Linked DNA regions of Oryctolagus cuniculus. The protein of the gene in region 5 interacts with the protein of the main gene of each other region in a pairwise test. Links are inferred from orthologs where the notes say so. Each region holds a gene or a part of one and is shown on either strand. Other genes may lie near its edges. The genes, in order: DZIP1L, CNNM3, ARMC7, CCHCR1, CBY2, PLEKHN1 and TXLNA.

The links.
Region 1: the proteins of CBY2 (region 5) and DZIP1L interact in binary tests that used the Homo sapiens proteins (3 or more experiments, as listed by UniProt). The two-hybrid records come from large-scale screens. The link is inferred for Oryctolagus cuniculus from reciprocal best matches to the Homo sapiens genes CBY2 and DZIP1L.
Region 2: the proteins of CBY2 (region 5) and CNNM3 interact in binary tests that used the Homo sapiens proteins (3 or more experiments, as listed by UniProt). The two-hybrid records come from large-scale screens. The link is inferred for Oryctolagus cuniculus from reciprocal best matches to the Homo sapiens genes CBY2 and CNNM3.
Region 3: the proteins of CBY2 (region 5) and ARMC7 interact in binary tests that used the Homo sapiens proteins (3 or more experiments, as listed by UniProt). The two-hybrid records come from large-scale screens. The link is inferred for Oryctolagus cuniculus from reciprocal best matches to the Homo sapiens genes CBY2 and ARMC7.
Region 4: the proteins of CBY2 (region 5) and CCHCR1 interact in binary tests that used the Homo sapiens proteins (3 or more experiments, as listed by UniProt). The two-hybrid records come from large-scale screens. The link is inferred for Oryctolagus cuniculus from reciprocal best matches to the Homo sapiens genes CBY2 and CCHCR1.
Region 6: the proteins of CBY2 (region 5) and PLEKHN1 interact in binary tests that used the Homo sapiens proteins (3 or more experiments, as listed by UniProt). The two-hybrid records come from large-scale screens. The link is inferred for Oryctolagus cuniculus from reciprocal best matches to the Homo sapiens genes CBY2 and PLEKHN1.
Region 7: the proteins of CBY2 (region 5) and TXLNA interact in binary tests that used the Homo sapiens proteins (3 or more experiments, as listed by UniProt). The two-hybrid records come from large-scale screens. The link is inferred for Oryctolagus cuniculus from reciprocal best matches to the Homo sapiens genes CBY2 and TXLNA.

Annotation. Positions count from the first base shown.
Region 1 is NC_091435.1:143,622,615-143,624,770, reverse strand, and holds part of DZIP1L (cilium assembly protein DZIP1L), read right to left. Parts: intron 883-2,156; coding exon 743-882; intron 1-742. UniProt on the Homo sapiens protein: Involved in primary cilium formation. Probably acts as a transition zone protein required for localization of PKD1/PC1 and PKD2/PC2 to the ciliary membrane.
Region 2 is NC_091433.1:110,906,312-110,910,479, reverse strand, and holds the start of CNNM3 (metal transporter CNNM3), read left to right. Parts: upstream 1-1,368; 5' UTR 1,369-1,411; coding exon 1,412-2,633; intron 2,634-4,168. UniProt on the Homo sapiens protein: Probable metal transporter.
Region 3 is NC_091448.1:5,391,084-5,394,407, forward strand, and holds the end of ARMC7 (armadillo repeat-containing protein 7), read right to left. Parts: intron 1,938-3,324; coding exon 1,576-1,937; 3' UTR 501-1,575; downstream 1-500. Other genes in the region: NT5C (5'(3')-deoxyribonucleotidase, cytosolic type), read left to right, coding at 1-59, 170-321. UniProt on the Homo sapiens protein: As a component of the minor spliceosome, involved in the splicing of U12-type introns in pre-mRNAs.
Region 4 is NC_091436.1:139,347,023-139,349,894, reverse strand, and holds part of CCHCR1 (coiled-coil alpha-helical rod protein 1), read right to left. Parts: intron 339-2,872; coding exon 226-338; intron 72-225; coding exon 26-71; intron 1-25. UniProt on the Homo sapiens protein: May be a regulator of keratinocyte proliferation or differentiation.
Region 5 is NC_091440.1:64,764,465-64,768,402, reverse strand, and holds the start of CBY2 (protein chibby homolog 2), read right to left. Parts: upstream 2,801-3,938; 5' UTR 2,700-2,800; coding exon 2,625-2,699; intron 2,347-2,624; coding exon 2,266-2,346; intron 1,258-2,265; exon of another isoform or gene 1,243-1,257; coding exon of another isoform or gene 1,129-1,242; intron 1-1,128.
Region 6 is NC_091438.1:164,381,874-164,385,966, forward strand, and holds the start of PLEKHN1 (pleckstrin homology domain-containing family N member 1), read right to left. Parts: upstream 2,801-4,093; 5' UTR 2,751-2,800; coding exon 2,668-2,750; intron 2,594-2,667; coding exon 2,509-2,593; intron 282-2,508; coding exon 135-281; intron 47-134; coding exon 1-46. Other genes in the region: KLHL17 (kelch-like protein 17), read right to left, coding at 3,288-3,914, 3,989-4,093. UniProt on the Homo sapiens protein: Controls the stability of the leptin mRNA harboring an AU-rich element (ARE) in its 3' UTR, in cooperation with the RNA stabilizer ELAVL1.
Region 7 is NC_091438.1:140,262,502-140,265,996, forward strand, and holds part of TXLNA (alpha-taxilin), read right to left. Parts: intron 3,229-3,495; coding exon 3,109-3,228; intron 2,874-3,108; coding exon 2,799-2,873; intron 1,923-2,798; coding exon 1,830-1,922; intron 1,061-1,829; coding exon 965-1,060; intron 294-964; coding exon 1-293. UniProt on the Homo sapiens protein: May be involved in intracellular vesicle traffic and potentially in calcium-dependent exocytosis in neuroendocrine cells.

The DNA.
Region 1 (2,156 bases), on a different chromosome or scaffold from region 5:
TTTTCTCTCTCTGCCTTTCTGTAATTGTGGCTTTCAAATAAATAAATAAATCTTAAAAAAAGAAAAATAAATAAATAAGACCACAATGGGGCAGCCCCCTTAGCTTGGCCTCTGATGAGGGCAGCAGTGGAGCCTGGGGCACAGGGGGAGCCAGGAGATAGACAGCGCTGGGCCCAACCCAGGCTTTGATCCAAACTTTCCACCGGAACTGCCTCTGAGGGCGCTCCCGCAACAGCCTAAGGCCCTCCCCCAAGGCCCATCTTCCAAACACCATCGTTAGGCTATCTCTGCCCTCTGAATAGCAGTACCTGATAAACTGGGAGTTCAGAGTGCCCCCTGAGCGCAGGAGCCGAAGCACGCTCAGGCCACGGCACCTCCCTCGGGGGAGTCTGCCCTACACCCAGCCTAGTGCTGGGCTCCCAGGCAGAGCGAGGACTGGGGAGTAGGCAGAGTGGGAGGAGGGCAGCCACTGCCGGAAGCCAGCCGGGCAATTTCCAGGCTCTCCCAGAGGCAGAGATACGAGTACCAAACCTACCAAGCAGTTTCCATGATGAACCAGAAGGCTCTGACGTCAACACGCACACAACAAGCATTCCCAAGTGGCCGTCTCTGTCTGTGCGCATGCAGGGGGGGGGGAGGAGACGGGGGCACCTGCAGGTGTCGGCCCCTCCCCAGCCCCCGCCCCATGCCGCCCAGGACTCTGTGGGGAATGACAGGGAACCCCGAGTGTCCTGCAGCCTACCTGGGCCTTCCTTCCTGCCGGGGCCGCTCCCCGTGGGCCAGTGCTCGGCCTTGAGAACAGACTAACCCCTCCTGAGGGCTTCTTCACGGGCGTCTCCAGCTGCTTCTCGAGATTCCGGACCATGGACTGCACGAGGGTTTCTGGAAGGCGGACAAGCGGCCCTGTCAGGGGGAAAGCCCAGAAAAGGAACGGTCCTGGGGGCGGGGGGGGCATGTCCAGGTTCCAGGTGCACAGAGGACGTGTGCAGAGGACAGGAGGGAGAAGGCAGGGCAACCACAGAGAAGAGGAGTAAGAGACAGAGAAGTTCCGGGCCAGCGTGCGCCCTGAGTGAGCAGAGGCCTGGAATAAGCTGCATGTTCTTTAGTTCAGTCTTAGCCAGAAAATGCAGCTGAGACGGCGGTGAGCCATTCTGTAAGAAAACCTTGAAAGAGTGGGAGTAGGCATGGTCATTTTGGGAAGAAAAATGCTCAGTGAGCCACTGTGGGCTGTTAGGAAATGTCACGTTTCAGGAATATTTGCATCCCAAGTCCCATCATGCTTGGCATAAGTCTCCACGATGCCCTTTCCACGCACAAGGTGAATTTCGAAGTCTACTTGCTGAACAGGTCAAAGAGCTTTCCTGTAAGACTAATAGGATCCCCTGGGGTCCACGGGTCGCTGGCAGGGACTGGAGGCTGCCCACCGCAACCGAGTGTGGCTGCCCGGGCCATCACAAGATTCGCTAGGAAAGCACATTTCTTACTACTCTTTCGATACAAAAACACATACTTGTTAGACTACTCGTGTTTGTTAAAAGGCTCACTGTTGGCACCCCGTCTGCCCTTAGATCTTTCTCCCTGGGTTTGCCTGGAGGCTGCTTTCACTCTTCTGACCTCCCACACCCACGCTGCTGCGCAAGAACCCAGGCAGCATAAGAGACTGGAGCTGGTTTCACGATGAGCACAGCCAGCCCAAAGCAGTCGTCCCCGAAAAAAACCCTTTTACTTTTTCAAGTAAATAAATAGTGACTCCACCCCGCTTACTTCAGGGACATAAAAGAGAACCTCGGTTGGCTGCGACACCAGCTCTGTGATTGGGAACTAGCCACCACGCCTCAGAGGCATGGACCCCACATATCCCTCCACTTACACCAGGTTACACCTGGCACAGCCACCGCAAGCTGCAAATACTGCTGTTGAAAGATCATGTCACACGGCTCACTTCGCCAACGCCACTGTAACTTAGCCTGGTCCACCGTGAGTGCACCCAGAGCACGGGGCCGGGGGTGGGGTCAGGGGGTGGGAGGTTAGCCATAGCGGCACCAAAATCCCTAGGCAAAGCCCACCTCCCATCGAAACGGCTGACTGCCCTGTAAAATGCAGCACTGACAGTGAAGTCACAGTGCTCGGGTGGACACACTCTCACACCCCAGGGA
Region 2 (4,168 bases), on a different chromosome or scaffold from region 5:
TCATCTTAAGAGTTTTTCACAAAATGTTTCCCCCTTGGTCAGACTCATTTTTGCACATTACTTTCCACACAGATATGTTTCACTTGATTGTGGCCACTCTGCGTACTTTTTAATTTTTTAAACAATTTTTTTTAAGTTATATGACTGGCAGAGACAGAGAAAGAATCTGCCATCCGCTGGTCCACTCCCTAAATGCTGCCAACAGCCAGGGCTGGGCCAGGAGGAGGCCAGACCTGGAAACTCAATCTGGATCGACCCATGTGGGTGGCCAGGACCCAAATCCTGGAGCCATCTTGCTGCCTCCCAGGGTGCAGATGATCAGGAAACTGGGATCGGGAGTGGAGCTGGGACTCAAGTCCAGATGCCTATATGGAATGTGGTGTCCCAAGGGGCTTCTTAACTGCCATGCTAAACATCTTCCCCTAAACTTATAAACTGTCGTTTTCATGACAGAGCAAGTTGGCACGGGGCTATCCGCCTTAAAAAAAAAAAAAAAAAAAAAAAAAACAAACAAACAAACAAAAAAAAAAAACACCGCAAAAGTGTAGAGAAGAAATAATACAGCTCAGCTGCAGGGGCCAGCCTGAATGCAGTTAGACTAGAAAGGCCGTGCGAGTTTCTCGGCCTCGGACTGACGGACTGCCAGGAGCCGGGCAGGGATTCCTGACATCGCGGCTACGGCGGTGGCGGTGGTGGCCGGGGCGTCCCGACGCCTCGGAACCCAACACGCCCGCGGAGTCTTCCTGGACTTCGCCTTTCTCCTGTCAGACACTAGTTACACCGAGTAGCTGTGAGGATCCAGTGAGGCTGGGATCTCGTGTGCACGTTTCCACCACACGTCTCCCCGGCGGGAAAGCGAGTTCCTTGAAGACAGGGCCTGTGTTGGCGTCCCGGGGCCTACAGCCGCAGTTAAACCTCGGCACAACCCCAGCCGCTGGTTCTGGCTCCCAGGGCCCGTTCCTAGGAAAACAGCACGCTCCCACTCGCTTCCATCTCCGTCAGCAACTTCAGGTACGCCGGGACCCGCGGCTCAGGCGAGCACCCGCTCCCGCTCAGTGCTCCAGTCCCGAGCAAGGGCCCGCGGCTCCCGCGAGGCCTCGGGACGGGTCGGAGGCCCTGCCCGCCCCGCCACGCCCCAGCTCGCGGCTCCGCGTCCTCCGAGAGCCGGCCACCCAGTGCCTTCGGAGCGGCGGCGGGGCTCGCTGGGGCGGAGAACCCCACGCCCCCGGCCCGCCCCGCGCCGCCGCTTGTTTACTCCCCGGCGCAGCCTAGTCCGACCCTAGGGCCCGCCCCCGCCCGCCGTCTATTGGCCGAGGGGGCGCGAAGGCCGGTCATGATTGGGCCGCGGGAGGCGGAGGCCGCGGGACGAGCGGGGTAGGCTGCGCGAGAGGCCGAGAGGGGGCAGCAGGCGATGGCGGCGGCGGCGGCGGCGGCGGGTCGGCTGGGCTGGTTGTTCGCCGCGCTCTGCCTGGGCAACGCCGCGGGGGAGGCGACGCCAGGTCTGCGAGTGTTGGGCTTCTGTCTGGAGGAGGACGGAGGAGCGGTGCGGGCCGCGCCGGAGGCCACCTTCCGCCTGCGCCTCTTCGGCTCCGGGTTCGCCAATAGCTCTTGGACCTGGGTGGCCCCGAAGGGGTCGGGCTGCCCCGAGAGTGGGTCGACCGCGGCGCCCGAGGAGGAGGCGGGGGCGGCCCCCACGGACGAGTGGCGCGCGCTGCTGTGCCTGCGCTCCGAGACCGTGCGCCCGCACTCGGCGCTGCTAGCTGTGCGCGTGGAGCCGGGCGGCGGGGCGGCTGAGGAGGCGGCGCCACCCTGGGCGCTGGGCTTGGGGGCGGCCGGGCTGCTGGCGCTGGCGGCGCTGGCGCGGGGCCTGCAGCTGAGTGCGCTGGCGCTGGCGCCGGCCGAGGTGCAGGTGCTTCGCGAGAGCGGCTCGGAGGCGGAGCGTGCGGCGGCGCGGCGACTGGAGCCCGCGCGGCGCTGGGCCGGCTGCGCCCTGGGCGCGCTGCTGCTGCTGGCCAGCCTGGCGCAGGCGGCGCTGGCGGTGCTGCTGTACCGCGCAGCCGGCCAGCGCGCCGTGCCCGCCGTGCTGGGCTGCGCGGGGCTGGTGTTCCTAGTGGGCGAGGTGGTGCCGGCCGCCGTGAGCGGGCGCTGGGCGCTGGCGCTGGCGCCGCGCGCGCTCGGCCTCAGCCGCCTGGCGGTGCTGCTCACCTTACCGGTGGCGCTGCCCGTGGGGCAACTGCTGGAGTTGGCGGCGCGCCCCGGGCGGCTGCGCGAGCGCGTTCTGGAGCTGGCACGCGGCGGTGGCGACCCCTACAGCGACCTCAGCAAGGGCGTGCTGCGCTACCGGACGGTGGAGGACGTGCTCACGCCGCTCGAGGACTGCTTCATGCTGGACGCCAGCGCCGTGCTGGACTTCGGCGTCCTGGCCAGCATCATGCAGAGCGGCCACACGCGCATCCCCGTGTACGAGGAGGAGCGCTCCAACATCGTGGACATGCTCTACCTCAAGGACTTGGCCTTCGTGGACCCGGAAGACTGCACGCCTCTGAGCACCATTACGCGCTTCTACAACCACCCGCTGCACTTCGTCTTCAACGACACCAAGCTGGACGCCGTCCTGGAGGAGTTCAAGCGAGGTAACGGCTGGGGCACCGCAGAGGGGATGTCCGTGCCCGAGCTTGGCCCTGGGGAAGGAGAGGGGGCTCATGGGGCCGTCGGGGAAAAGGCCCCACTCCTGGAGAGGGCAGGGGGCCCTCTAAGGGCCGGTTTTAAGAGGGTGGTCGCGTTGCAGATGGGAATGACCTTTTAAAGTGTTTAAGGACCCCGCCCTTCAGAGGGGACAGAGTGCCATGGAACGCAAACACCTCTCTTTCTCTCTCTCTCTCTCTCTCTCTCTCTCTCTCCACGGTGGCCCCCGTGTTGGGGACATACCTCTCACTGATTCTAAACCTCCCGGGTCTTCCCGGCTCCCAGGCCATTTCTGTTGTGCCTGGGGTCGGATGTAGCAGATTGAAACTCTTGGATAGAAACTAAAAGGACACGGAGAAGGTGGCTTCCAGATCCGGGCCTAGCTGCCCCTGTGGTGTCCCCAGGGCGTTGGTGGGGTCCCTGGCTGATGGCTGTTTTTCTGAGTGACAAGGGCATGACTCATCAGTACTCCTCCTTTCCTACAGGTATGGAGAGAACTTTCTCTTTGATTTCATCAGAAGCAGCTTCGTGGATGCTGATTTAATCTCTCCTTCCCCTGACTTCCCCTTTTTTTTAAACCTCCCCTCAGGGTCTCTCAGCTTCTCCTCTAGCTCCTTTTCACCCCTCCTTTCAACCCTGGCTTTTCTGAGTGACTCCAAGGTTGAAGGTAAAACAGGCCCTCAGCGTGTGAAATGTGGGTCCCTCTGCAGCCGTCTGCATTGTCAGCCTTGGGGGTGCTATGTGCTTCTCTCACCTGAACTCCCGCAGGATCGGGGTGGGGGCACCCCGTGCTGTGGACGGGCTGTTAGCACGTGAGCAGAGCCCTCCGACAGCCCTGGCAGGAGTGACCATGGTCCTCCTGCACTGGGCACAGCCTCGGGCCAAACCCTGGTAGGTGCGTTGCACTCCACATGTCTTTTAATTCTTGGACCCACAGCTGTGTCTGGTCTGGTGGACTCTCTGGGGGCCCTGGCTCCTTCCCTTCAACGTGGCCATGCAGCCCTACTCTGGGGAGGGCTTTTGTGTGGGGCCCAGACACAGCGTGCTGGTGGCAAGTACTCTGTCTAGATCCCAAACAGTGGGCTCTCTCGAGGCGTGGTGGTCAGCAGTGTGGCCCTGGAGTCAGCCAAGTGCGTTCCATCCTGCCTGGCCTGCACTGTGCTCCTGGGCCCAGGGAAGGCTGCCTGCCTCTCCCGGCTCAGGGTCCTCAGTGGTTAGCGATAGGAGGGGTAATGAGAGGATCGGGGAGAGGAGATGCGGGGCGCCGGGGCCTGGGTGTTCGTTGCTAGGAGGGTGATGATTGCTCACGGCTGGGAGCTCTGCAGATGGGTAGGTTCGCCTACTCCTGGGGAACCAGTAGCAGAGGTCACACTGCAAGTGCAGGCTTTATCCCTTCTGCGTAGGGAACTTGTATAGAGGCCACAGCTGTCCCTTTGATGGCCTAAGCTGTCACATTTCAAGGTGTCTTAAATGCTCGGCTCAC
Region 3 (3,324 bases), on a different chromosome or scaffold from region 5:
GCGGGACAAGACCGTGGTCTTGGGGGACCTGCTCATTGATGACAAGGACACCATTCAAGGTTGGACCGTTTATCCTTGGCAACCCCAGGCCTCTGGCCGGCCAGGATTAGGGGGCGGGAGTAAAAATAACCAGCTTACCGGTCACCTGCTGGCCGCTCCCCTGTCCTAGGCCACGAGGAGACCCCCAGCTGGGAGCACATCCTGTTCACCTGCTGCCACAATCGGCACCTGGCCCTGCCCCCGACCAGGCGGCGGCTGCTCTCCTGGAGCGACAACTGGAGGGAGATCATAGACAGCAAGCGCAGAGCCGGCCGGCAGTGAACAGGCCCGTGTGGACAGTGGCCGCAGGGAAGCCCCCTGGAGCCAGTGGCACCAGCGCCAGGGAGACACTGGTGCAGGCCCGGCCAGCTGGCATCTCCAGGGATGGCTGCACCCAGTGCCGGGCTGGCATGGGAACAGTGGGAAGAGCAGTCATGACGCTTTTAATAAAAAACTTTGACTCTGTCTTTGGAGACCTTTTATTGGGGAGCAGCTGGAACGGGGCTGAGGATGGCTCCCCTCCGTCCCTTCTCCCGAGTGCAGATTGCAGAACCTGCCTCAGTGCCACGCCCGCCTGGGCACCACTCTGGCCCCACGTTTCCTGAATGTCTCCAGTCCCTGCCTCGGAGGCACTTCCAGGGGTGAGGGCCCCCTTCACTGTGCGGGGGGGGTGCAGGGTGCTTCCAGGGGTGAGAGCCCCCCTTCACCATGTGTATGTGGGGGGGCGTGGGGTACTTCCAGGGGTGAGGGCCCCCCTTCACTGTGTGGGGGGGGCGCGGGTGGTGAGGGCACAGACTGAGCTCCAACAGCTCTGCCTTTGTCCTGAGGCGGCGTCACCCGCACGGCCTTGGTCCTGATGCCACGTTAACAGTCACGGCTGTCACTCGAGGGCAGGGACCGCGCCTTCGTTTCGGAGTCCCTTCCATGATGTCTGGCAGACAGCAGGACGTCATCCTGCACCCAGCTCGGCGACTGCCACGCCTGGGTGCCAGCCTGGGAGCTGGACGGGAGGGGTCCATCTCAGCGCAGCCCTGGAGGAGGTGTGACGCCCCCGGCTCCCTGGGGCCCGTGCTCTTATGCCCACAGATCATTTCTGTTCCTCAAAATGACTGCAGGCCCTTATTTCTTCAAGTGCAGGCAATTCTCTGCCTCCGGCTCAGAACCTGCCCCTCTGAAAGCCTCTGGACCCAGGGACCTAGCAGTGCGGCAGCGCCAGCCTGTGCAGACGGCGTCAGCTTTGGCGTCCGTCTCCATGTGTCCCCGAGTCTGGCTTCCTGCCCTAGTGCCCTCTCATCAGAGTATCTGTCGTGCTGCGAAACTCACCTGTGAAGTGGCTGAGACAGCACAGTCCTGGCAGAGCGTGCCCAGGGGAGCCGGCCCCGCCTGCTCCCTGCCTGCTCCCCGCCTGCTCCCTGCCTGCTCCCCGCCTGCTCCCCGCCTGCTCCCTGCCTGCTCCCCGCCTGCTCCCCGCCTGCTCCCTGCCCCACGACCATGGTGTCTGGCAGTAAGCTGCTGCCGCCCAGGGGCTGCTTCAGATCAGGGCTGTTGTGGGGCCTCGGACTTTGGCAGTGGGATGCCCAGGGCGGAGTGGGCCTGCCGGCTGCGGGCTTCGGCCACCTGGCTTGGGGAACAGAAGTCTTCCAGGAAGATCTGGGCCAGGTTCCGGAGCCTTGTGTTGGCCGAGAGAGAGAAGCGCAGCATGCACTGGACCACAGGCATGGCGGTCAGCTCCGGGTGGCAGCCGGCGCCCGGCGAGCCCAGGTACATGAGCGTGGTGACAGCGGACAGCACCGTCTCCTCGTTGGTGCTGGACAGGCAGTTGGTGATGAGCGGGATGCCCCCCGCCTGCAGGATGTGCTCCTTGTTGGCTCTGTCCGGGCACAGGTTGCAGAGGCCTCCTGCGAGAGAGCAAGACAGTCTGGGCTGCAGCCCTGGGCTTCCTCCCATCTCTGCTCCCCAAGCCTCCCTGCCCACGGAGTCCCGGGAAGGACCCAGGCCTGTGAGAGGCTGGCCCTGGAGCCAGGATCCAGAGTCTGTGTGCTCTCCTGTCCTCTCTCTCAAAGGTTCCAGAAAGGACTTCTGAAGTGGGCAAAATTCCCGTTCCCTCTTGGTTCATCCAGCTTGATGGCTGACATGTTTTTCTTTTTTAAAGATAAAATCAATGGGGCTGTTGTGGTGGTGTAATGGGTTAAACTGCTACATGTTCCACTTCTGGCCCAGCTCCCTGTTAATGTGCCTGGGAAAGCGCTGGAGGATGGCCCAAGTACCTGGGCCCTGCCACCCACGTGGGAGACCCGGATGAAGCTCCTGGCTCTCCTGGCTTTGGCTTGGCCCAGCTCTGGCTGTTGTGGCCACTTGGGGAGTGAGCCAGTGGATGGGACATCTATCGTCCACCCTCCAGCCACTGTAACTCTGCCTTTCAAATAAATAAATAAATCTTTAAACAAAAAACACACAATACTTCGCCCACCATCACTTTAGAAGAATTTTTATACATAGGTAAAGTGATGGTTTTTACATGTCAAAGCTTATCAAATTGTACCCTTCAAATATGGACCACTTACATCAGTCATACCTCAACACACCTACTAAACAGCGGCTAAAGCAGCTTACTCCTACCCTCCAGTCATCTATTTTTCATCCCATAATCTTGAAGCCTGTGAATGCACACGAATCTCTAACAGAGAAGGGGCCTCTCCTGGCCGTTGTGCCAGCCAGTCCATGAACACTGCATCACCTTGCGGTGGAGAGCAGCGGCTGCAGGTGGACGACCGCACTGCGGCATTTAGTGCCATTCCCATGAGGGCAACTCATCCCCCTGGCCGGTGCCACTGCTGCTGGGACCCTGGGAGAAGCAGGGAAGGCTCCAGAAGGAACCCATGTACTCAGGAGGTGTGAGCAGACCCCTCCCCCTTGCTCTCAGCTCAGGCAGCCTCAACTCAATCACCTCCCCCCCCCGCCCTGGGGACAGATGCTGCCTTGTCTAGAGGCTCAGTGCTTAGCACTGGTTACTCAATGCTGGAAGAGGGCTTCCTGCGCATCAACTCAGCTTCCTGCCACTGCCCCGCCCCCACCTCTAGGTTCCTGCTCAGTTGGAGGGAGCCCTGTCTCAGCTCATTTACATAAGATATTCAAGGAGTCTTGATGGACCAATCAGGAGCAGGAGGTCCAGCCCCACCCACTTCCCTGTTTCTCTGGAGACTCAAAAAGAGAAGTGGGCTTCCGGACCTTCCCCAGCAAGAGGGCACAGTGCCCTCTTCTGCTGCTCCCCCAGGGCCCGGAGTC
Region 4 (2,872 bases), on a different chromosome or scaffold from region 5:
CACACACACACTGCCCACACTTTACCTCTCCAGGTGCAGCTGTGCAAGGGCCAGTTTTCGAGCCATGAGACCTGGAGAGAAAAGATGGAAAGCGACAGGTTGAGTTTGCAAGGGGAGTCCGGGAAGCAGAAACGTGTGGGCTGGTGAGCAGGAGGAGGAAGTGGCCGAGGGATCAGAGGGCTGGGCCAGGATGCAGCTCAGAGCCCACCACCACCCCCAACTCACTGCGGACAGTGTGGACCTTGCGGACGGCATAGCTGAGTCGGTTACTGAGGCTGGGCAGCCGGGCCACCGCCTGCTCCACCTTAGCCATGGTGCTCTGGAGGCAGACCTGGGAGCTGGAGGAGCACAGGCCGCTGACCGCTGACCCGCACCTCACCCCCACAGGGCCTGGGGCCTGCACAGACCCCTCCCCCCATCCTGCACTGTCGCACAGGTGGGGGTGGGGGGAAGCAGGGAAGGGAAACAAGAGAGGCTAGGGGTAGGACCTGGGGCACGTGTGCCCCAACCTCATGCCCTATGCTGCAGCTGCTAAAACAAAACCTGGGAGGAGCTTTAGCCTTTTAGCGACTGTCACAGAAATACGATCTGGTTGCTTATAAAAATATTTTAAAAAGCACAGCTATTCCTGGTCCCACAACCCATGCAGAGTAAACTTCTCATTTGGATCCTGAGAACCAGTGTCCCCAATAAAAGCCCTGCAATCAACACAGCAAGGTGCAAGGAGCCCCATCTGGCCCCGGGCGCCCCAGGCTGTAAAGGGCTCAGTGACAACAACGCCGCAGGGCCTGGTCTCTGCCTGATGGCCACTCGCTCCCCTGCAGGCCACGAGGCCGTCTCCAGGGCCTGGGATTCCTGGCGCTGGACGCCGCGCCACGTCTGTGGTGGAAGAACACGGCCCGAAGCTTCCATGTCTAAGGAGCCCCTGCCCCTCAAGAAGGCCTCAGACGACTGCCTTATCTTTTCAGGCAAACTCGGGGCTTCTTTTCTTTTTCTTTTTTTAAGATTTACTTATTTATTTGAAAGGCAGAGTTACAGAAATAGAGGGAGAGACATACAGGGAGAACTCTTCCATCCACTGGTTCCATCCACAGGGCTGATCCGAAGCCAGGAGCCTCTTCTAGGGTTCCCACATGGGTGAAGGGGCCTAAGCACTTGGGCCATCGTCTACTGCTTTCCTGGGCCGTGGCTTTACCCGCTACGCCACAGCGCCGGCCCTAAAGCTGATTTCTCACCACCTGGTCTTGGATCACTGCTGCGCAGCTCTCGAACAAGCCCAGGAGTGTGGTTTCCCTGACACGTGAAGGGCAGGTCTGTGAGTGGCATCAGCTGCTGGCCCAGAAGCAGAACCAGCACGGCCCATGAAAACTGAGGGGCTTCAGCTGGGAGCCCTGGGAGGAGGCCCAAGGGGAAAACGGGGGCAGGCCTGGAGCTTCCTCGGAGACGGAAAAACAAGCGGTGACCACAGCAAGTACAGCGAGGAACCCTTTCGGTGGGAGCGCCCAGCACAGGCCGTGGCTCTAAAGCCACTTCCAGGGGTGGGTGTGAGGAGCAGAGGTCAACAACACGGCCGCCTCTCGGGACGTCTGCATCGCACATGAGTTCAGGTCCCAGCTTCACTTCCAACTTCTGCTTCCTGCCAGTGCACCCCATGGGAGGCCGCAGCAGGTGACAACTCTGGTACTTGGGTCCCTGCCACCCACGTGGGAGTCCCACATCAAGTTCTGGGTTCCTGGCTTAGGCCAGGCTAAGCCCCAGCTGCTGTGGGCATTTGGAAAGTGAACTGGTAGACAGAAGAGCTATCTTTCTCTCTCTCTTTCAGTTTCTCTGGTTTTCAAATAAAAAATAAATTTAAGAAAAACTTTAAGATCCATCTTCTGACACAGCCATTGAGTCACCTAGGGACTGTGTCGCCAACCTGGTAACATCCCAAAGTTGGTGCTTTCTGGCAAGAACTCAGCGAGAACCCTGCCTGACCCCTGGGCACCACAGGAAACCCTGCCCCCGGCCTGTCTTTCTGCTCTCCTGGAGGCAGGCGCAGCTGCAACGGGCGGAATCTGGGTGCTGGCTCGCATACCCAGGCCGGTGCGGAGCAGGTTGCAAATGGCTCCCAGTTTGTTCAAGCCAATGGGTTCCCAAGGAGTGAATCCAAGAGAAGGCCGTGGCTGCAAAGGCCCATCCTGCTGACCCCCAGAACTCCCCTGATGCATCCAGGACAGCCCTGTGAGGACCGTGGACAGTCAGAGCACAAACTACACACCAGCACCGCACCAAGGGCTCCACACGGACCGCCTACCGCCCATCCCAAGGACCCCGGTGCCTGGGGAGGCCGCTACTAGCACGAAGCAGCTCTTTCCCAAGGCTCTATGACAGCCTCAGCAAGGCCATGACTACCAAGTCGGCATGAGGGACACGGGCTGCAACTGCCTTAGAAGGTACCGGGCCGGGGCTGGCGCTGTGGCACAGCAAGTGAGGCCACTGCCTGCAGTGCCAGCATCCCATATGGGCGCCGGTTCAAGTCCAGCTGCTCCACTTCCAATCCAGCTCTCTGCTGTGGCCTGGGAAAGCAGTAGAAGATGGCCCAAGTCCTTGGGCCCCTACACCCACGTGGGAAACCCAGAAGAAGCTCTTGACTCCTGGCTTCAGATCGGCACAGCTCCGACTGTTACAGCCAATTGGGGGAATGAACCAGAGGATGGAAGACCTCTCTCTCTCCCTTCCTCCCTCTCTCTCTCTCTCTGCCTCTCCTCTCTCTGTGTAGCTTTGACCTTCAAATGGGTAAATAACTCTTTAAGAATAAAAAAAAGAAGGGACCGGGCACGGCATTGCAGATGCGAGATCTAGCAGCAGGCATGTAGCATTACATGGATTA
Region 5 (3,938 bases):
AAGACTTATAGAGCTAAGAGGTGACCTGGTGCAGCCAAGTGAGTATGGATATTGACCTGGTTCAAGATCCTGACTCCAACCCTACTATTACCTGAAGGGCTCTAGGAATTCCTGGTTCCCATACCTAGAAAATCTTACATTTGCGTGTCTTTGTGCTCAAAACATGATATGATCAATAGATCAATATTCAGTCAACACTTCTCCCCCTCTTTTCTCCTCTGCCAATGCTTACCTCCAATTGTGTGCACCATCTCATGTTGGGAGAGTTAGCAAACACATCATCTTTCTCACAGCACTAGTGGTGGTTTGCCCACTTCCTTCCTGCAGATGACTAGTCTACAGTATCCTGGAAGGTGCCTTCAACCTGCTTCCTGGTTGTGCTTCTTTGTCATGTGTACCCCTGAGGCCACATCTGTCCACATGGGGTACATGTGCCCAGATAATTGCTGAACATTTTCCTCACTGTACACCCACCCTGTCTTCCAACTGCCCAACAGCTGTACCAGGTCCTATAGCACAGAAAGTGGGTGGCCCCAGGACAAGCCAGGGACATAGTCTCAAGCCTCCTTTTCTCCTCCTTGATTGCTAGGATGTTTCTGGGAGTGGATAGGGGAAGTTGTGCTGGATATAGATAGAAGAATCTCTCCAATCTTTCTATCATGTGACCATCACTTATTTAAATCCTATTCCCACCCTCACTGTCACCTCCACCCCACCCTGGATTGGCATCTTCTACCCATCCTTTAACAATGGAAAGATTGAATTACACAGGCTATGAAGAATCAAAGGAGCAACACCGACCATCAAAAGGAATAGTGTCCAATGGAATTCCCTGTATACAACAGAAAGAATTGGACCTAGAAAGGTTCCTGTAGCTTATCATCATCCTGTCAAATGATCAGCAATGCTATATTCTGGCTAAGTCTCATGAGCTGAAACAGATAGAAAGTGTCTGTTACTTGCAGAGTTTTAAGGATAATGTGAAAACAAACATCCAGAATATTTTCTTGTCCTCTATTTGTGCCTCCTGCTGAACATACATGCCTAGATTGTTCAGTCACATACATAGAATGCCCACTGGTGACCCACCCTCCTACATGACTCTGGACAGAGCTGTCAGATAGTTACCTCTGCATTGGATCTCTCCATTCTACATTTCAACCCCTCTGACTGCATGCCCATGGTCTTCCAAAGGGGCCTTGAGTGACTCTGGGAGAAGCAAGGCCATGCCCTTTGTGACATAACAGCAGTAGAAACAATCCAATCAAGAGAACCCCACCAAGGAAACAGCCACTTGCAGGAGAAGACCTTAGAATCTCCAGCCTGTTGGCTGGTGCCGCAGCTCACTAGGCTAATCCTCCGCCTCGCGGCGCCGGCACACCAAGTTCTAGTCCTGGTAGGGGTGCTGGATTCTGTCCCGGTTGCCCCTCTTCCAGGCCAGCTCTCTGCTGTGGCCCGGGAGTGCAGTGGAGGATGGCCCAAGTGCTTGGCTCCCTGCACCCCACAGGAGACCAGGAGAAGCACCTGGCTCCTGCCATCGGATCAGCGCGGTGCGCTGGCCACAGCGCGCCAGCCACGGCGGCCATTGGAGAGTGAACCAACGGCAAAGGAAGACCTTTCTCTCTGTCTCTCTCACTGTCCACTCTGCCTGTAAAAAAAAAAAAAAAAAAAAAAAAAAAAAAAAAAAAAAAAAAATCCAGCCTGTCAGAACTGCACCTACACATTGTCCTAAAAAAACAAACAAGCAAAACAAACAAAACCATGCACGTATCCTTTATGCTCTCTCTTTGGTACACAGCAGGGCTTAATTCTATTGACATCTCCAAATGATACCTTAGCATCCAGTCAATGTGCTAGGTTTTCTCCTCATGGACTCATTCGTAAGCATTTGACCCCAAGCCCCAGGTCTACTTGTCCCCCTAGAAATCCAGAGTGCTAATACATCACCAAGCACCAAAGATCTCCCTTTGAGGATGAATATTTGATTGTTTTTTGTTTTTTTTTGTTTTCAGTCTAGCATAGAAACTTGAAATGTTAGGGTGGCCAGGTCATCTAATTCACACTCCTCGTATGAGAGAAGAGGAACCCAAGGCCCACAGAGGCCATGTTTCCTCCCCCAGGCACAGAATGGGTGGGTGGTCAAATGCACAACTAGAATCGGAGGCCTTGACTCTTCAGCTTACTCCACATCAGGCTGGAGTTTTGGAAGAGGAGTGTTATTCTGCCTTAAACGGGCAGATTTCATCCTTCTGTGATTAATCCTACCTGAGGCAGAACCACATTGATTGGGATTTCTAGGCTTTCAGATCTGGTATCTCGTTTTCTTGTAAAATTTGGCCTCGAGTGCTGTAGAAAAGAGAAAAGAGGAAAATTTCTGTTGCCCAACCCACCCTCTGGGCCTCCATTGCTCATCTGACAATTATAGGACTTTCTACTCATTTATTTGCTTCTTGTCAATTAGGTACATTATGAAAATCTGCATCTGCAAATGTGTGTGGACAATCTCTGATATTTTATTAAACAAATTCATACAGATACTATAGCTGATGTCTTTGAAGCACTGATTGCTAATATCTACATCCTTGTGTAAGACTACTGTTTCCCTCCCAAGCAAAAAGCCATACCAATGTGAGGTGCCAGGTATAGGTCCTGTGCAGAAGTTGGTCACCAAAACACTCAGAACATTCCAGAGGTGACATCACAAAACAATATGGTGTTCTGCAGGGCTCATGGTTTCTCTCTGAGCGTCACAGGTGGGAACGAAGCATCTGGCAGGTAGGAAGAGTTTTGCAGCATCTGTGACCACGTGGCTAAGTAGGGTCAGTGTGACACACAATACCCCAAACACCAGGCCCTGATTGGTCATCCCCACTGCCAGGCCGTCCTCTCTCCAGAAGGGGCATTATCTACTTGTAGTTGTATTGCTCAAGAAGAAATACCAACTGAATTCCCAGACCAAAGGAGGAAAGAGGGACTCAGGAGCTTTGTGGCACCACTTGATTCCCCAGGGCTGTCACCAGTGGACGCCCTGAAACCATCGACCTGGAGCGAGTGCCAGATCCCAGAGGTTAGGTGCTCAGTCCCACCAAGCTGCCTTCACCTCAGATGCCACTTGTACCATTGACTGATCAGCTATAAACCAGGAGTTCCATGACCCCTTCTTTGGCTTCAATAATTTGCAAGAATGGCTCACAGAACTCAAGAAAACACTTTACTTATGATGACCATTTTCTTATAAGGGGCACAACTCAGGAACACCAAATAGACGGGATGCACAGGGAAGGTATTGGGCATTGAGGGTGGTGTGGAGTGGCCGTGCCAGCCCTGGGCAGCCACTCTCCCAGCACGTCCACGTGTCCTCCCACCAGGAAACTCTCTGAACCCCACTGTTGAGGTTTCATTACACAGGCGTGGTTGTTTAAATCTCCAGCCCCTCCCCCCTTCCTAGAGGTAGGGGTTGGGGGGTGGTGATGAGAGTTTCCTCTTTTTAATCACATGGTCAGTTTTTCTGGCGGCAGCCCCCAGCCTTCAAGGGTTGCCTCATTAGCTGAAACTCAGGTGTGTTCCAAAGGGGCTCATTATGAATAACAAAAGACACAGAGGAAATGCCAAGGATTTTAGGAGCTCTGTGCCAGGAATCAAGGACAAAAGCAGAGTTTATTTTCTTATTATACCACGGAGGTAACAGCATCAAGACCACAATGCCCCATGCCCTGGCCTCACTTCGGGCAAATCATTCACCACTAGAGGCTGTTCATGGGAGCCTTTTCTTGTACCGTAAGCCAGTGGCACACCCCAACCCTACGTGCAGTAAGAAGGGAATGACGGACCAGAGGCAGCAGATCCTGAGACACCAGCCAGAACCACCTTTTTGAGTCCCCCACACCCAAATTTACAAGAAAGCTTTGCTTTAAGACCTAACATGCGGCCGGCGCCGT
Region 6 (4,093 bases), on a different chromosome or scaffold from region 5:
AGTAGAGGTGGGCAGGGAACAGCTCCAGGTAGCAGTCGCTGGTGTCCTGGGGGGAGCAGTGCTGCAGGTCTGAGGAAGGGCCCGGCCTCAAGGCATCTGGGCCCCAGGGCGCGGCCCCCCAGCCCGGCCCCCACCTGGCTGTGCTGGGACCGCAGCTGGACCTTTGCGTAGTGCACGACCTTGCCCAGGGCCCTCACGGGCACCCTCCGCCTGGCCTTCTTGTACACGCTCAGGAAGGGTGGCTCCAGGTTCTCTTCCTGGTCCTCCGGGTCCAGGGTGTCCTGAGGGGGCAGAGCTCAGGGATGCGGCCTGACCAGAGCCAGCAGCCCAGCAGGGGGACACATGGCCACAGACACTAACCTGCAGCTCAATAATGTGCACAGAAACACGCATGCACACATGCACGTTACACACGGACATGTACATGCACAAGGACACACGTGCACAAGTGCCCAGGGACACACGTGTCTAGGGACACACGTGCACACGTGTACATGGACACATACCTGCACAAGGACACACATACACAAAGATACACATGCACATTGCACAGGGACACACACGCGCAAGGACACAATGCACAGAGATGCACACATGGACACACCCCATGTGCACAAGGGCATGTGTGCACAGGGACACACGTGCATATATGTACAAAGATGCACATGTACATGAGGACACACATATACATGTGCCCAGGGACACACATGCACATGTGCACAAGGATGCACCCTGCACAGGGACACACATGCACATGTGCACAAGGATGCACCCTGCACAGGGACACACGTGCAGGTGCACATGGACACACCTGCACAGGGAATACACACACTGCACAGGGACACACGTGCAGGTGCAGACCCTATCCACCACCTTTCACGCAGCACAGTGCAGGGTAAGTACACAACACACATGGAGAGTCCCACAGATAACACAGAGATGCCACGACTCCTGGCACAGCCCTGGTCAAGCCTCTGGCGCAGCAGTAAGGGTGCCACCCGGTCAGCCCCTGCCGGCCTGTGCCGCTGCTCCAGCTCCCCATGGGGCACCCCAGGTCTCAGCAAAGGCCAGGATCCTGGCAGTGGTCGGAGGGCTTCTCCTGGAGCTGTGCCCCTCCCCACTGCCTCCCCACGCAGGCACAGGCCCACTCAGCCCTAGCTCCCCACCTGGGCCCCTCTCCGCTTCTGCAGACCCCAGTAAGCCCCTCTCCCACTGTCCCCTCCGTGGCAGCCACACTCTGACTTCCTGTGTCTCATCGTCGGTCTGGCCATGGCAATGGGAGCACCGTGACAACCAGACGCCATGGCAACTGGGCACTCTGCCCGTCTTCCTGGCTGCTGTGACCCTAGGACCTGGGACAGGGCTGGGATGTGCGGGGTGCCAAGGCCCACGTGTCCAGTGGCGGGCAGGAGGGTGGTGCTCACACAGCCCTCCACTGGGCACTCCCCAGGGCCTGTGCCCCGGCTGGGGCTGCGGAGGCCGAGGGGCTCGCTGCCAGGGGTCACGTGCCCCTGGGTGTAGGCAAGGGCTACCTGCTCAGCAGCTGTGCTCTGGTCAAACTAAGCTGCCTCTTGGACAAGCCCAGGAATGCGGACAGCCGGACAGACACAGCTTCCCCAGCCTCCCTGCCTGTGGGTGGGGCCTCCTGCACCCATGCCGAGTGGGGGCTCATGCCAGGATAGCACCCATGAAAAACAGGACATCCGTGGGCAGGGCCACACAGCTGTCCCCGCCGCACAGGGGACGAAGCCTGGCACAGAGCTGACCACAGGAGCCGAGGCTCAGCCAGGAGAAAACACTCTGTAACTACCTAGAGCTCATCCCCTCACCCCGGGCGGCCCCCGTCCCGGGTCCAGGCCCCTCTCCAGCTGCTGTGACCTGGCAAGGTAGGGTCAGTAGGGACCGCACACTATGGGAGCCCCTCAGGGGTGACCATGTAATGTGGGTCTGGACAGATGGACTTGGGGTCTGAGATGCGGCCCAGGGGGTGACCCTACCCAGGGCTGGCACGGCCAGCAGAAGCTCCCCAGCCACGAGGGGCAGTGGGAGGGGGCCAGGGAAACCAGGCACCAGGTGGAACCTGCCCACCCGGTGGGCGTGTCCCTGGTTCCTCCTTGAGTCCACCACCACCTGGGGATGGGGTTTCTGCTGAGGAGCCCTTGGTCCCACGGGGGCTTCAGTGCCCTCCACCAGGTCTGTGGACAGCCGCCTGCAGTACGTGAGGCCCTGTACAGGCACTGGCCAGCCCGAGCTGCCTGCAGTCCAGACCCTGGTACAGTGGCAGGGAGGCCCCGCCCACAGCCCGCCCCTGCGGGGTGCTCATCTCTGAGTCAGCCCCGCCTCAGTTTCGCTCTCCCGACTTTCGGGACAGGAGCTCCCCAGGGCGGGGCTGCCTCTCCCTCCCACTGTGATCTGGGCCACAGCCCCCCTCCAAGGCCGACCCCAGCCAGGCACCGCACAGTACACAGTCGCCCACACGCGGGGACATGGCAACAGAGGGGTGCTCACCGGCCCAGGGAGGTAGTGGAAGATCCTGTCGGCTGCGCTGTCCCCGGCGCCAAGCAGGCTGGCCAGCTGCCTGCGGCCGTCCTCCCTGTGGACAAGCCCAGGGGCTCAGAGCCCGGCCAGCTGGGCACAGACCCAGGGGGCCCCAGCCCCGCCTCTCACCTGCTTCCCTTGAGTGACGGCTTCCTGGAGAAGGACGCCCGGAGCCTCCTGGGGGCCTGGGGGACGCACTGGCTGTTCCCCATGGGTGGCAGTGACCAGCCAAGGCTGAGCAGGGCGCCGAGTTTGGGTCCCTGTCCTGAGCCTCCAGCCCCCACCCTGCCCAGGGGGCGGGGCTCTGGGCGGTCCTACCCCTACCTGAGAGCCAGGCTGGGAGGAGCCCTTCTGGGAGGGACTTGGCTCCCGCAGCCAGCCTCAGGTGTGAGGCCAGGGGCCACCTCCCCAGAGAGGCGAGGCCTCATCTCAGCCTCCAGCTCCGCCCCCCAACATTCTGTTTCCACATAAACCCCAGGTGGTCTGAGTCACTGCTGAGGGGAGATAGGGTTAGGGTGTGCTAGCAGCAGGGAGGGGAGGGGAAACCAGGACCTGTCCCCCCGCCCCCAACCCCAGGCTGCAATCCATATCCCAAAGGTGCCCAGGATGTAAGGGTGAGCCGGGGCCCACTCTGCGCAGGCAGCTGCACCCAGGCCTGGGCGTGGGCAGCCAGCCACTGGGGCCTCACAGCCCACTGCACCCCACCCACAGAGCAGGACATGGGGACAGAGGGGGCCAGGGATGGACACTCAGCCGCAAGCCCATGGAGCCCCAGAAACACGTTTATTGTCCACATCGGCTGTATTGCTGTGTAGGATCTGTGTGCCCAGCCTGGCACGAGACCCAGGACATGGGGACGGCACCCCGAGGCCAGGAGCAGGCGGTGTGCAGAGCAGGCCAGGGTTGGCCCTCCCCCCAGCATAGGCTCTCAGGAGGTCACCCAGGGTGGTTCGGTCCCCAGACCCAAAGGACGGCGACGCTTTAAAAGTAAACAAACGGCTCATCCGCAAATAAATAATAAACCAATAAATAACCAATAAATAAACGGCACACACAGAGATGAACACCGAGACACTGACAGACGGCGCGGGGGGCCGGGAGAGGGGGCGTAAGGCACGTGGGAGGCCTCCGTGCGGGGCGCCGGGGCTCAGAGGCTGGTGGAGGACACAGACAGCGTGGGTGAGGACGGGGGCGGGAAGTTGAGCAGCTCCAGCACGGCCACGCCCACACTGCTGCGCCGGGTGAACATGCAGGACGCGGCCACCCACTTGTTGGCCCGGGGGTTGTACTTCTCGATGGAGTTGAGGCTGGAGCTGCCGTCGTTGCCCCCTACGGCGTACAGCCAGCCGTCCATGGCCACCAGGTCGTGCGTGCTCCTGGGGGTGGCGGGGGTTAGCCCCGGGGCAGCGCAGGGTGAGCCCTGACCACCGACCCTGGCCCGCAGACCCACCTGCGGATGCTCATGGGCGCCACGCTCTCCCAGGCTGCGGCCTTGGGGCTGTACCTCTCTACCGAGTTGAGGCAGCTGGTGCCGTCGTTGCCCCCCGCCACGTAC
Region 7 (3,495 bases), on a different chromosome or scaffold from region 5:
GTCTGGCCTGATGCCTCTGTGCTGGGTGCACCTGTGCAGCAGGAAGCGTCTGTGGCCCTTGGAGAGTTGGGTACTTGAGCCCCGGGCCCCTCGACACCCTGCTCCTTGGAGGTGGTGGCGGGCTCTGGCCTCCGCTCAGGACCACTGTCGGAGACGGCGCCCTGGCCACCGGCACTCAGGTCCTGCACCCTCTTGTTCAGGTCATTGCGCTCTGTCTGCAGTGCCCGGCACAGCTTCTCCAGCCGCTGGATTTTCACCTGCAGGCCTTCCAGCTCTTTGTCCCGGAGTGTTTTCTAGGGGGAAAAACGGGATCTTCAGTGCCATCCTGTCAATCTCCCCATCAGCACCACCTGGTAGCAAACACTTCCCCAAGGTTGGGAGCAGACCAGAGTCTATAAAGTCAGTCCCTTCTAATATCAGAGCTAGTTTATGTCACAACTTGGCTGTCAACTGGCAGCAGTGAGGTGCAGAGAAGGGACCCGGCTTGGAGAGCAGACAATGTATTCCAGATGACCTTGGCAAAGTACTAGCTTTTCAGCCTATCTCATCTGTAAAACAGGACTGCTAACACAACCTCAGGTCTCAAGAGAGTGCTCAATGAACTGGCCTATGTACAACACTTAGTGAGGTCTGGCTTGCAGCTGCTGCTCCAGTGTCATTTCCTGTTCCCGCACTGCCAGCCACGAAATCTCAAATTATCTAGGCTGCCTTGCGTGCAAAGTGTGCCTCTCGCTGCTCCCCGCCCACTGCTGTCGCTTTCTGCCTCTCCATTCCCGTTTTCCACTTGTTCCCTTTGCTTCCACTGCACAGCCGTGAGGGGAGAGTGCTGGCACTGCTTTTACTTGGATAGTGTGTCTGAGTCCCGGCTCTACTTCACTCCAGGCACACTGCCGACGGGCAGAGAAAGGCCTGATACGTGGTAGCTGCGCACGCAGACCCCTGCCTCCGATCCGACAGGACTCACCTCCTCAGCCATCTCAAGCAGGGCCTTGTTGCTGCTCTCCCACCGGGAACGGTACATGGTGGTCTCTTTCTCCAGCTTCTTGATCTTCTTTGTCATCTGGGTTATGAGACAGATGGGAGGAAATGGTGAGAGCTGGGCTGCTGGCACAGCCACATCTCAGAGGTGGGGAACAACCCCAAAGTGCAAGGCATTTCAGGGCCCAGTTATAATGCCTTCTGGGCCGCCTTGTCACCTGGAAGTCTCTAATGTCCACTATCAATAACAAGAAATGACCAGACTTGGGGCTGGCACTGTGGCATTCAGCCACTGCTGGAGATGCCTGCATCCCTATGGGCACTGGTTTGAGTCCTGGCTGCTCTGCTTGCGATATAGTTCCATTAATGCGCCTGGGAAAGCAGTGGAAGATGGCCCAGTTTGAAACCCTACCACCCATGTGGGAGATGTGGATGAAGTTCTTGGCTCCTGGCTTAGCCTGGCCCAGTCCTGGCTGAGCCCTGGTTGTTACCACCTGGGAAGCAAAACAGCAGAGCGAAGATCTCACTCCAACTCTGCCTTTCAAATAAAGTAAGTCTTAAAAAACAAAAACAAACAAAAAAAATGAAAGAACCCAATCTGCTCCACCTCAGTCATGTCTTTAAGAAAAAGAACAAATGACGAGACTGCCAGGCAAAGGCAGAGCCAGGAGGGCGCGCACAGAGGAAGGCTGTGATGGCGCCCAGTGGCCCATCTTTGCTATCAATCTCAGCTGCTGGGAACAGCTCCTGGGGAGGCACACTGGGTGGGGGCTTCCCCAAGGCAGGCACAGGGTTTGATCTGATGAAGCAGCTTGCATCCGGGGAGCCACAGCTGGCCAAAGCTTCCTTACCTTTTCCATTTCCTGTTTGAATGTGGTGAACACCTCGCTGCTTTTGGAAAGAGTGTTCTGGAACTCCTCAAACTTCTCTGTGTATAGGGCAAGCTGCGTGAGAAAGAGGCCCGCGGTAAGACTGGGCTTCTCTGGAAGGCACTTCTGGTCAACACACTCAGACCTCCTGGGCACTACGACCCAACAATTCTACTGAGATCCATTTTCCCTTACAACTAAACCAGAACTATATATCTGGAAAGATATAAGCCAAAATGCTAAGCCTGGGAAGCAGAATTTAAGGTGACATGTTTTGCTTGTCTATTTATTTTCAAATTTTTCCTCCAGAATCAAGTAAAATTTGTGTGATAAGAAACAACCATTCTAGGCCAGCGCCGCGGCTCAATAGGCTAATCTTCCGCCTAGCAGCGCTGGCACACCGGGTTTGAGTCCCGGTTGCCCCTCTTCCAGACCAGCTCTCTGCTGTGGCCCGGGAAGGCAGTGGAGGATGGCCCAAGTTCTTGGGCCCTGCACCCGCATGGGAGACCAGGAGGAAGCACCTGGCTCCTGCCATCGGATCAGTGCAGTGCACCGGCTGTGGCAGCCATTGGAGGGTGAACCAACAGCAAAAGGAAGACCTTTCTCTCTGTCTCTCTCTCTCACTGTCCACTCTGTCTGTCAAAAAACAAAAACAAAAAACAAAAAACAAAAAAAGAAAGAAAGAAAGAAAGAAAACCATTCTGTCCCCATCTCCTCAAAATCAAACACTCCGCCTCTGAGCACAGCAGAAAGACCCCTGGGCTCATCTCACCACCTGGTCCCAGGTGCTGGTCACAGGTGCTGGGCAGGTCCAGAGAGAACAGACTCACCAAGGTCACAGATCAGATGGGCAGGGCCAGGCCTAGAATGAGGGCCCCATTTCATCCCCCCAGGAAGGGACCCAGTGAGGGGTCCTGACCCTGTGGCCCAGGGTCAGGTTCACGGTCTCACCTGCTGCTTCAGGTGGGTCTCCTGTTGCTTCATCAGCTCGCACATCCTCTGGGACTCCACGGCCTCCTTCAGGAGCTATTTCCAAGACAGGAGCCCAGACCCTGTCAGAAGCCCCCAGGGGCTGTGTTTGGCCTTTTTAAGCCACAAGCATTGGACCCACCGAGGCTTCCTCTGACTGATGTCTAAGGAAGCAGTGCCTGGTCTGGCCAGGCAGCCACCTCTCCCCATCCACACAGACTTGACTCTGAGCCAAAGCAGAGCCCAGCCCACCTCCTGCCCTCCCGCCGCAGCCCCGGGGCCCGGGCCTCACAAAGTCCTTCTCCCGCTGGTGCCGCTCCTCTGCCTCCTTCAGCATCTCCTGGGCCTGCTGGAGCTTGGCGTCCACCAGCTGCTGCTGCAGATCCTTGTGTTTGAAGACTTTGTCGATGTGCTGCAGCAAAGACAGCGGAGAGGCGGGCTCGTCAGCACCCCCCTTTCTCTTGAGGCGCCATCCGCAGAGGCCAGAACAGCTGGCCCAGCCTCCCAGCTCAATCTGACATGCTGGATCCCCATGTACACCACAGGCCGTGGGCTCCAACTCCTTTCACCTCATTCCTCGTCCAGAGTCCGACGGGGGTGGAAACAGGAGTTTATGGAGGGAATCAGCTCCCGGAGCGCCACGTGGTAAATGCACTCCTACCTCTGGCCCCACAGCTCG